Linked DNA regions of Oryctolagus cuniculus. The protein of the gene in region 1 purifies or fractionates together with the protein of each later gene. This does not show direct contact. Links are inferred from orthologs where the notes say so. Each region holds a gene or a part of one and is shown in the gene's direction. Other genes may lie near its edges.

Region 1 (5,594 bases):
AGGAGCAGCCTCGGTTAAGAGAGTGGCTGTGACCAAGACCTAATGGTCCGTGTGGGGCCCTTTTAGCCATACCAGTCTTTGAAGATTGAAATAAGGTACTTTGTGGTGGGTGTTTGCTGCAGTGGGTAAGGTGCTGCCTGGGACGCTTACATCCCCTACCAGAGCGTCTGGGTGTGAATTCCTACTCCCCTTCCAATGCAGCTTCCTACCCTGCTTCCTGCTGGTGTAAACTCTGGGAGGGAGCATATGATCACTCACTATTCGACTCCCTGCCAACCAGGTTGGAGACCAAGAAGGAATTCCTGGCTCCTGGCTTTGGCCTGATCCAGTCATGGCTATTGTGGGCATTTTGGTAGTGAACCAGTGAATAGATGTCTTGCTCTTGCTCTGCCTTTCAAGTAAATTAAACTTAAAAAATAAAGCTCTTTAAGTATCTGGCACACTTCTAGTGAATGTTGAATCACTGTGATTGTAGCACCCTTGTGGTGGTTTAGAGAAGAGCTGGAGGGGTAGCTGCTGCCTGCTGCTCATGAGGAGGTAGCTTTGAGCAGGTCACTTGACCTTTCTAAAATACTGCTTATCTGCCAGCAGGAAGACAGAGTAGGTGCCCCACTGCGGTGTGAAGATGAGAAGGGACGATGTTGGCTATCATTGCTCCCTTCTGCATATTTACATGTCAGGCCTTGGAAGGTTGGGCATTTCCATTTAATAAAGTAAATGCTATGACAGAAGCATTTAGGGAGTAGTATGCAAGCACATTTTAGAAGTATCTGACTTAAGGGCTGGTGTTGGCACAGCAGGTTAAGCTGCTGCTTGCGATGCCCACATCCCATGTTGGATTGCTGGTTTGAGTCCTGGGAGCTCCCCTTCCGATCCAGCTTCCTGCTAATGTACCTTGGAAGGCAGCAAAATTGCTTGGGTTCCTGCTGCCCACATGGGAGACCAGGATGGAGTTCTTGGCTCCTGGTCTCAGCCTGGCCCAGACCTGGCTTTCCTGGCCATTTGGGGAATGAACCAGCAGATGGAAGCTCTCTCTCCATCTCTCCTCTCTCTCTCTCTGTTGCTCTGTCTTTGAAGTAAATAAATCCTGAATAAAAGAAAAAAGGAATACTTGACACAGAACAGAGATGGCTTCATAAACTTAGCCTGAAGGATGAATAAGAATTAATCAGGCCGGCGCTGCGGCTCACTAGGCTAATCCTCCGCCTTGCGGTGCTGGATTCTGTCCTGGTTGCCCCTCTTCCAGGCCAGCTCTCTGCTGTGGCCAGGGAGTGCAGTGGAGGATGGCCCAAGTCCTTGGGCCCTGCACCCCATGGGAAACCAGGATAAGTACCTGGCTCCTGCCATCGGATCAGCGCGGTGCGCCGGCCACGGCGGCCATTGGCAGGTGAACCAACGGCAAAGGAAGACCTTTCTCTCTGTTTCTCTCTCTCACTGTCCACTCTGCCTGTTAGGAAAAAAAAAAAAAAAGAATTAGGTGGGCTGGCGCCGTGGCTCACTTGGCTAATCCTCTTCCTGTGGCGCCGGCACCCTGGGTTCTAGTCCTGATTGGGGCGCAGGGTACTAGTCCCAGTTGCTCCTCTTCCAGTCCAGCTCTGCTGTGGCCCAGGAAAGCAGTGGAGGATGGCCCAAGTGCTTGGGTCCCTGTTCCCGCATGGGAGACCAGGAGGAAACACCCAGCTCCTGGCTTCGGATCGGCGCAGCACCGGCCATAGCGGCCATTAGGGGAGTGAACCAACAGAAGGAAGACCTTTCTCTCTGTCTCTCACTGTCTATAATTCTCTCTCTCTCTCTCTCTCTCTCTCTTTCTGTCTAACTCTGCCTGTCAAAATAAATAAATAAATAAATAAAAATAAAAGAATTAATCAGGAGAAGAGAAGCTAAGCTGGTTTGGGGAGGAAGAAGAATGTGAATGAGCAAAGGCATAGAAGTAGACAGCAGGTGTGTGTGCATCACTGGGAATACAGTGCAAGGCAAGGAATGGAGAGATGTGGCCGGAGGGCCCTGGGCTGTTATTTGACTGTTGAGGAGCATGGGTAGCTAGTGGGGAGACACACATGGGCTTTACTCACATTAATGAGCAGGCCATATTGATGTTTTGAAGAAGATTACCATACTACTTATGTGGGTGATGGACTTGAGGGAAGCAGGGAAATTGGTTAGGATATTTTTACAAAAGTCCAGATGAGCAGTGACAATGACTTGAACCTGGTAATGAGGTAGGGAAGGGAAATTCATTGAAGAAATACCTCAGAGCTCAAAGAGGAAGACTCAGTGTGTGTCTAGAGAGTGCCTGCGAGCTCTCAGCATTGGGGGATGGTGTAGCCCCCCCTGCAGTGAGACTGGTCAGGGAAGAGGGAGACCATGTGGTTTTCATATGCTGACTTTGAGGTTTCTCAGTTGGGATGGCAGGCTTTACAGTTTTTTACATTTGAATGTTAACTGCATATATATATATCCTTGAGAGGACCAGAAACAGTACAGGGTGGTTTGTTAAAATACAAGATTTGTTAAAAGACACAGGTTTCCAAAGATAGCTGCAAGCCACATGGTACAGGCAGATCCTTTTCTGCTTCTGGACTTGTTTCCCTGCCCTGGTGGTTAAGATCATGTGTAGGTGAGTTTGCTTGGGGAGGTTGTAGAGTAAGAACGTGGGTGACAGTAATGCCTAAGGGGTTTTACAGAAAGGAAACTGGGGCTCTCATTGGGTCATCAGATTCACCAGGATGTACTATGCAGTGAGTAACCTATGGGACCACGTTTTTGCAGGCCTAATGCTAAGCGACGATATAAAAACCAGAAGTTTGGTTTTGGTGGAAAGAAGAAAGGCTCCAAGTGGAACACTCGTGAGAGCTACGATGATGTATCCAGCTTCCGGGCCAAAACAGCTCATGGCAAGGGCCTCAAGAGGCCTGGAAAGAAAGGGTCAAATGTAAGTGGGCCGGGGGCCCAGGCTGGGGCTGGCTCAGCCTCCTCTCCCTCTTCCCCTACCCCTGTGCCCTCATACCCTGGGGAAGAAATGTGACTGACTAGGTGTGGTGCTTTTTTCCCTGCAGAAGAGACCTGGAAAGAGAACAAGAGAGAAGATGAAGAACCGAACACGCTAAACAGCATCTTTTGTACAGAGAACCAAGAAAAAGGGATGAAGCCTTATTTTCCTGATACAGTTGGGTCCCTTCTGTTTATTTTATTTTTTTGTTTGTTTGTTAAAAATACCTTTAATAAACTAAAGAAAAATTATTAAAGACACATATACTTATACCCTTGATTAAAGCCTCAGGACCAGGAGGCTGGCACTGTGGTGCAGTGAGTGAAGGGGCTGTTTGCCACATCAGGATCCCATATTGGAATGCCAGTTTGAGTTCCAGCCACTCTGCTTCTGGTCCAGCTTCCTGCTCATGCAACAGGGAAGGCTGCAGACAATGGTCCGAATACTTGGGCCCCTGCCACCCACGTGGGAGACCTGGATGGAGTTCCTGGCTCTTGGCTTTGGCCTGGCATAGACCTGGCTGTTGTGGCCATTTGGGGAGTGGACCAGTGGATGGAAGGCCTTTCTCTGTCACTTTGCCTTTCAGATAAATAAATCTTAAAAAACATATCTCAGGACTAGAAGGTTTAGAAATTACTTATAATATATGTTGTTGTAAGCATTGCTATGTATTGATGATAATTTAGAGTCCAAATTGCCTTTTATGATCGATGAAGCTTTAACTTAAAACCTTCCTCATGTCTTCCTCACTCTTTGAAATAGTTATAGCGCTATCAATCCCTTTATAGCTAGATGAATTATAATAAAATTTCCTGTGATCCAGCTATTGATTTTTCTTTTTTTTCTTTTAAAGATTTATTTATTTATCTGAAAGAGTTACACAGACAGAGGAGAGGCAGAGAGAGAGAGAGAGAAGTCTTCCTTCCGATGGTTCACTCCCCAACTGGCCACAACAGCTGGAGCTGGGCTGATCCAAAGCCAGGAGCCAGGAGCCTCCTCCGGGTCTCCCATGCAGGTGCAGGGGCCCAAAGATTTGGGCCATCTTATACTGCTTTCCCAGGCTATAGCAGAGAGCTGGATTGGAAGAGGAGCAGCTGGGACTAGAACAAGTGCCCATATGGGATGTCGGTACTTTAGGCCCCAGCTATTGATTTTTCTTGAGTCAATCTTTACCTTATATTTTTCTTCTTGTCTGATTTTCTTACTTTTTTCCAGATGCTTTACCATTTTATCTACCTTACAGTTTTCTTTGAGTCAAATATTGAACCCTTTCTGATAATTTCTAAGTTTATATTTTAGTTCTTTTGTGGGGAAGATTTTATTTTATTTTAAAAATTTAAAAAGTTATATTTGATAGAAAAGGGAGCTCTCATCTGCTGTTTCACTCCCTAGATGCCTGTGATGATTAGGGCTGGGCTCAGGCCAAAGCTGGGAGCTGGAAACCCAATCTGGGTCTCCCACCTGAGTGGCAGAAGCCCAGTTACTGAGTCGTCTGCGTTGTTGGGAAGCTGGAATTGGAAGCCAGAGCTGGGTCTTGAACCCATACATTCCAATTGGGATGTGGGCATCTTCACCGTTAGACCAAACTCCTGTCCTTCTAATCACTTCATTGGATATTTTAGCTTTCATTTTACCTTTCAAGAGTTCTTTATTCTCCACTTTGTCCTTTTTTGTAACATTTTTACTCTTATTCTATAAATTCAGTATGTTTGCCATATTTCTGATGTGAATTTGACCTTTTTAATTTTTTTAGCCGTTTTCTTTTGTTCCCAACATGCTTCCTCAGCCTCCTGTGCATTTTGGCCTCCCTCTAGCAGTGGTGCATCACGGATGTTAACTGCTTGGCTCCGCTGCTTCCTTGTTTGACCTTAGGCAAGAGACTTTTTCTGTGCCATTTTATAACAAGGAAATGGAGTCCTCACAGGGCTTAGTAACTCACCCAGGGTTACACAGCTACTTAGCAACAGCTAGAATTCATACAGAGGTAAGCCTGGCTCCCTACCATGTTCTCAGGAGCTTAACAAAGGCTCTGAGTCCCATCTGATTTCTTGAGTTCTAGTCTGTATCTCTGGGTATTTCTTCCTTTGTCCTTGGGCTGCTGGTAAAGATTAACCTGGCTGAGAGAAGGTGTGAGTTAGGAAGGAGTCAGGCTATGAGACCAACCAAATATCTTACGTCCTTTATTCTGGCCACACTGTCTCTTAGGGGCGCAGCTTCCTTACCTCTGAGGTTTCCCTATGCCTTGAGACAGGAATGTTTGGTCCCTCCACTCACCTTTAAACATATATGTTGAGGTCAAACTCTGGCAGGCAGAGTTCCGAGCCCAGGGCAGAGAGCACTGAGTGAAACACATGGGGACTTGGAGCCTTGGGTAGGGTGAGGCAGCCGTGGACAGAATATACAGGTGTGCCCATGCCAGTAGACCCCACAGTGCAGACAGTGATACAAACTGAGGAAGGGAGTAGGCAAGGAGTGTGTGAGTGCAAGGGTGGCTGCTTTAGATAGAAGGCAGCTGAATGGCAGGCAGGGACCAGCAGTGGGAAGAGGCAAAGCGCCCAGCAGACAGCAGAAGCCAAGGAGCTGGGGCATGAGGGGGCTGGGCCAC
Region 2 (6,248 bases), on another chromosome or scaffold:
CCTGGTAGGCAGCAGGAGATGGCTCAAGTACTTGGGTTTCTGTAACCCACATGGGATTGAGTTCTGAACTCCTAGCCTCAGCCTGGCCCAGCCTTGGCTGTTGCAGGCTTTTGGGAAGTAAACTGGCACATTGGAGTTCAACTCTGTCTTCCTATCTATGTTGATACCTTTGAAATTAGTAAAAATAAAATAATTAAAATATACTGTGTCGCTCCCCCTCTTCATGGAGGAACGACACAGGATCCTGCCTAGGCTTCATATCCGAGTCACGGCACCATTATGTCGCTCCCCCTCTTCGTGGAGGAACGACACAGGACCCTGCGCTGTTCTTTTCGTCTGCTCGGCCCTCCCCGGGTTTGCTGCTGGTTCTTCCCGGGTTGGTTACTATCCCTTCCACCTCCGTGGAAGGGCAGTTCCCCCTGGCCACATTCCCCACTTCCGCAGGGGAGCGGCACACCGCCGGCCGGCTCTCTTGGGGGCTGCACGGGTGTTCCTTCAGCTAGATGTTCCCCATAGATGTTCCTGGTGCATGCCGTCTCTCTCCTCCTTTATAGTCCTCCTCTGCCAATCCCAACTCGGCTGCCCACACGCCGAGTACGCTGCTCTCCTTCAATCAGGAGCAGGTCCTGCAGCTTGTCAAGTTGGTGAGAGGCAGCTGGGTAGAAGCTGTTGCCTCCTCTCCCAGCGCCATATTGTGGGAGAGCAGATGCATAGAATAAGTCTTAATTCCAGTAACTCAGTCTAGTCCGAATGCTCCCCACAATACTGTGTTTGGATTTGCTGATAAAGTGTTATAAGCTAGTGATAGGTTAAATTTTCAGTGTATTCTTGAAGGTATTTTTTAAAGCCAATTATTCAAAATTTAGAATTGTTCTTTTTTTAATATTTTATTTATTTTACTTGAAAGTCACAGTTACACAGGTAGAGGGAGAGGCAGAGAGAGAGGTCTTCCTTCTGCTGGTTCTCTCCCCAGATGGCTGCAAAGGCTGGAGCTGAGCTGAGGAGCTGAGCCGATCCGAAGCCAGGAGCTTCTTCTAGGTCTCCCACGAGGGTGCAGGGGCCCAGAGACTTGGACCATCTTCTACTGCTTTCCCAGGCCATAGCAGAGAGCTGGATCAGAAGGGGAGCAGCCGGGACTCGAACCGGTGCCCATACGTGATGCCAGCACTGCAGGCGGTGGCTTTATCTGCTATACCACAGTGCCGGTCCCCGAAATTTAGAATTGTTTTGTTCTCATTCTGTTTTGTTATTGGAAAGCTTTTGTTTATTCTTGTAGTACAGATTTTTGAACCTTGGCTACAATGTGTCATTGTTCTGTGTGCTGAGGAAACATTGTTAAATAGAAAAATGCCCCTGTTGTTATGAAGTTTACAGTCTAATAAGGATGCAAGCTATAGGTTTTCAAAAACCTAGTCTGGGCTGGGAAAGCACCTTTCCATAGGGATAATTTTCAACTTAATATTTGAGTATTTGAGCAGAGACTTTAGGGAAAGAAGGGTAGAGTTGGGAAGCGTGTTAGGTAGAAAAGAAGGTAAGTGCAAAGGCCCGGAGTGGCGCACACTTCCTCTAGTTGTGTTTATTCTGAAACTAGTAAGAAACAAAAGCGGCTGCCGGTGTTGTGGCATAGTGGATAAAGCTGCCACCGTGATGGCGTCTCATACGGGTGCTGGTTTCCAGTCCAGCTGCCTGCTGATGGCCTGGCAGAAGCTGTGCAAGATGCCCTCAGTCCTTGGGCCTCTGCAGTCAGGTCGGAGACACAGATGGAGTTCCAGGCTCCTGGCTTCAGCCTGGCCTTCTTGTGGCCTTCTGGGGAGTGAACCAGTGTATGGGAGCTCTCTCTCCATAGCTCTGACTTTCAAAATAAATCAATCTTATGTTACAAAAGAAAAACAGCTGGAGCATTTTTGTAGATGTGTAGTCTCAAGTAGTTAGACTTTATTAGTACTATATCAGATGGTTTATCAGTACTACAGTAATTTAAGACTTAGCTCCTGTAGTGTTTTGTATATTTCTCAAGTATGACTTTGTAAACTTTCAAGACAATGAAGTTCAGTTCAATTTGAAATAAGTTTTGTGTACTTAACACTTCTCACCAGTCCCTTGGTGATTTTATGGAACCATGTCTTCAGAAATGAAATTATAACTGGGGAAGAAGACCTTAAATTTTGTGATCTTAAAAAAGCCAAAAAGTAAAAAATCAAAATAAGCATTATGAAATGTCTTTGGTTCTATAAGCACTATGTTTGTAGGGTTGACTGCAGAATGCTATGTGTTGGACATATTTTCAGTTTGTTCACTGGAGAATGGTCAGAAGAAAAGAGGCTTCCAGTAATCTCCAAGTGAGACCTCTTAATACTATAGAATGCTGTGGCCCAAAAAAATAAATAAATAGGATATTTAAGCCAAAGCGGTAGGCAGAGTGACTACTCTACATGGGTAGAAAGTCTAAGAGGAACTTTAAATGTTTGTTTCTATAAATAAGTTAGACCTTTGTTACCTACTGAAATATTTAGAGGAAACTGGATATTATGATGAATTACTTAGTTCCATTTGTATTTATGTTATATGTGTGTACTTTTTTCATTTAGGTCTGTGAAATGAAAAACTGCAATAAATGCATCTATTTTGAAGCTAAGAAAAAACAGGATCTCTATATGTGGTAAGAGTATTACTAAGATTTGGATTGAACTTACAGAAGTGGATTCATTCTTGGTAGTTCTTATAGGTAGTCATTTATATAAAAGACTATAAAATGAAACAAACTATTCAATTTGGAAAACCTTGAACCCATTAAAGAAAACTAAGTACATTTACATTTTAAGCATGTTGTGCTGTTTCCTGGGAATAGGTGCCTAGCATTTACTACATTCTAAATTGTAACTAATTGAAAAAACTTCCTTCTTTAGGCTTTCAAATTCACCTCATGGGCCATCTGCTAAATTCCTTGTTCAAAATGGTAAGTTGACTTAGTTATAAATATTTTTAATGAGAAAGCTAAAACAATCTTTTGGAGTAATTGTGCCAAAGTTACAACTTTTTTTTTCTAGTTCATACCCTAGCTGAATTAAAGATGACTGGAAACTGCTTGAGAGGTTCTCGACCCCTTTTGTCCTTTGATCCTGTGAGTTCCTCATTCAGTATGTGAGATACAATTACTTATTCTGCACAGTTGTATTTTAGTGGATATAGTTGTAATTGCTTAAAAAAAGAAAACTGTTTTTAAATGTGCACTCAACTGTCAAATAATCTGTTTATTTTATTTTATAGGCTTTTGATGAATTACCACATTATGCTTTGTTAAAAGAACTCTTAATTCAGGTAAACAAAACTTTTCCAGAAAATAGTTTTATAACTGTAAGTGAGCATCTTTTGGACTTTTTGCTAACTGTCAAAAGCATGAATTATGTGTGATATTGTAAGGAGCTAATATACTTTTTTTTTCTTTTAAGATCTTTAGTACACCACGGTATCACCCCAAAAGCCAACCATTTGTGGACCATGTGTTTACATTCTCCATTTTGGATAATAGGATATGGTTTCGGAACTTTCAGGTTAGCTTTATTTTATTTAGACTTTAAAATAAATTGGGATACACAGGGCTTGGAGACACAGAAAATCAGATTAACAGACCCTTTTGTTTTAAATAGCTTCCTTTACCCTAAGAGATTTGTTGCAGATAATTCTATCTCATTCCTGAAGTGACCTCTGTGCACTCTTCTCATGACTGTCAGTTGATACAGGGTTTGAGTTTCCTAACAAGCCACCATATTTTTCATTTTATAAGAAGGAAAACCTATGAGGTACTTGGGTTCCCAATTTATGTTAAGTGCTATAAAGGATACAGTAAAGTACAGTATACAAATATTATAAAATACAGTAAAATATAAGTTTCTGTTCTAAAAGGCTACCATCCACCTGGGGGTTGGTTAAGACAGAGAAAAACATTACTCCTTTAGAAGGCTTAAAGTGAGGACTACTGGATGAGTCATATAGTGACTCATCAGGGAAGAGGTGAAAAAAGCAGGAGTTTGGTGGATTAAGTCTGCAGAAAGGAGGAGATGGGATAGAGACCAGCGACAATAAAATTTCAGATGGTGTAGGTCGTAAGCTAGGCGCTAGTCTGGCATGTTTTTTACTGACTGCCTTGCAGTGTGAGCTAAATGTGTCCCATTCTTAATTTGTATCGTTTGTAAGTTTTCTGTTAATTTCATAATCAGTAATAAATAAATAAAATCATGCCTTTTAATGTGATTTCAATCAGATCTATAATAATAATATATACTTGATTGAATCTTTAAAAGGGTTCTCCCATGGTGTGCTTTAAAACAGTGTATTAATAATGGCCACAATATATTTAAAGATTTATTTTATTTTATTTGAAAGGCAGAGTTAGAGATAGGTCTTCCATCTAACTAGCTTACTCTCCAAATGGCTGCAAAGGCTGAGGCTGGGCCAGGCCAAAGCCAGGAGGCTGGAACTCTATCTGGGTCTTCCACCTGGTGCAAGCCCCAAGGACTTAGGTCATCTTCCACTGCTTCCCTAGGCATGTTTGCAGGGAACTGGATCAACAGTGGAGCTTCCAAGACTCTTTAACAGGTACCCATATGGTATGCTGGCATTGCAGGCAATGGCTTGACCCGCTACGCTACAATGACAGATTCTAGTTGGCTACAACTTTAAAAATATATTTTAAACACAGTTTTTCAAGAATATGTACCTTGGGAGCTGGAACTGTGGCTTAGCAGGTAGACTGCTACCTACAGTGTTGGCATCCTATATGGATGCTTGTTCTCGTTGGGCTGCTCTGTTTCTAATCTTGTTTTCTGCTACGGCCTGGGAAGGCTGTAGAAGATGGCCCAAGGACTTGGGCCCCTGCACCTGTGTGGGAGACCAGAGGAAGCTTCTGGCTCCTGACTTCAGATCTGCCCAGCTCCAGCTATCACGGCCATTTGGGGAGTGAACCAGCGGGTGGAAGACCTCTCTCTCTCTGCTCACCTCCCTCCCTCCCTTTTCCCTCCCTTCTTCTCCCTCTCCAACTTTCTATAACTTTCTTTCAAATAATAAGTAAATCTTTAAAAAAAAAATAAAGAATATGTACCTTATTAAGGAGCAGGTGTCATGGCACAGCAGATTAAGCCACCTCTTCAGATGCCCACAGTCTCATAGCTGAGTTCTGGTTCACATCCCATTACTTACACATCCAACTTCCTGCTAATGTGTTCTGGGAGGTAGCAGATGATGGCTTGCTCAAGTATTAGGGCCTCTGCCACCCATGTCAGAGACCCAGATGTGGTTCCAAGCTCTTGGCTTCAGGATTGTTGTAGACATTTGAGGGTACAGTAAACCAGCAGATACAAGATCTCAAAATACCTGTCTCTGTTTCTGTCACTTTTCCTTTCAAGTAGATGAAAATAAATATATTTTTTAAAAAAAATAAGTTTTCAAAAATGCTTTTATATTAAACTGAGAAGCAAGATATGAACCAAATTAAAATTATTTAATTTGAAAGGACACACTAAGAAAAGGTTTGTATTTTGTCATACCAACTCTGTGTAACTAGTGATAGATTTCAGAAAATATTGATGCATTGGCACTTGTCAGGATTCACCTCTACCTTAATTTTGCTGATTGTAAGTTATTTAGGCACACTTATAATGAGGTTATAGGCAGTATATCTTCTAGGATAGTATATTCAAACCAAAATGAAATGTTTCCCTTTTTATTAAAGATCATAGAAGAAGATGCTGCTCTTGTAGAAATAGGACCTCGTTTTGTCTTAAATCTTATAAAGATTTTCCAGGGGAGTTTTGGAGGACCAACTTTATATGAAAATCCTCACTACCAGTCTCCAAACATGGTAAGCTGTTTCATTGTTAATGGTCTTTGTTGTACCAGAACATTTCTATGAAATAATTAATGTTCTCTTTTACCTATGAAACTGAATTTGGTGTTTGCTGCATAAACTTGAAAATTTCTACTTTTTTTTTAATGACACTGTGTGAAGGGAAATAGTTTTCATAAGTGAATGTCTTTGCCTTATTAAAATGTGTAATTTTTTTCTAGCATCGGCGTATTGTAAGATCCATGACAGCTGCAAAGTACAGAGAGAAACAGCAAGTGAAGGACGTGCAGAAACTGAGAAAGAAAGAGCCGAAGACCATACTTCCCCATGATCCCACTGCAGATGTTTTTGTTACTCCAGCTGAAGAGAAACCCATAGAAATACAGTGGGAGAAACCGGAACCTAA

Evidence for each region. The genes of interacting proteins can lie anywhere in the genome.
Region 2: the proteins of EBNA1BP2 (region 1) and BRIX1 purify together in Homo sapiens (affinity purification with mass spectrometry; 4 studies listed by BioGRID and IntAct, counting the BioPlex papers as one, with this or other methods). This does not show direct contact. The link is inferred for Oryctolagus cuniculus from reciprocal best matches to the Homo sapiens genes EBNA1BP2 and BRIX1.

What each region holds. Positions count from the first base shown.
Region 1 is NC_091438.1:129,855,687-129,861,280, forward strand, and holds the end of EBNA1BP2 (probable rRNA-processing protein EBP2), read left to right. Parts: intron 1-2,769; coding exon 2,770-2,932; intron 2,933-3,056; coding exon 3,057-3,107; 3' UTR 3,108-3,249; downstream 3,250-5,594. UniProt on the Homo sapiens protein: Required for the processing of the 27S pre-rRNA.
Region 2 is NC_091445.1:60,583,742-60,589,989, forward strand, and holds part of BRIX1 (ribosome biogenesis protein BRX1 homolog), read left to right. Parts: intron 1-2,588; coding exon 2,589-2,659; intron 2,660-2,906; coding exon 2,907-2,956; intron 2,957-3,047; coding exon 3,048-3,121; intron 3,122-3,267; coding exon 3,268-3,318; intron 3,319-3,449; coding exon 3,450-3,551; intron 3,552-5,728; coding exon 5,729-5,857; intron 5,858-6,063; coding exon 6,064-6,248. UniProt on the Homo sapiens protein: Required for biogenesis of the 60S ribosomal subunit.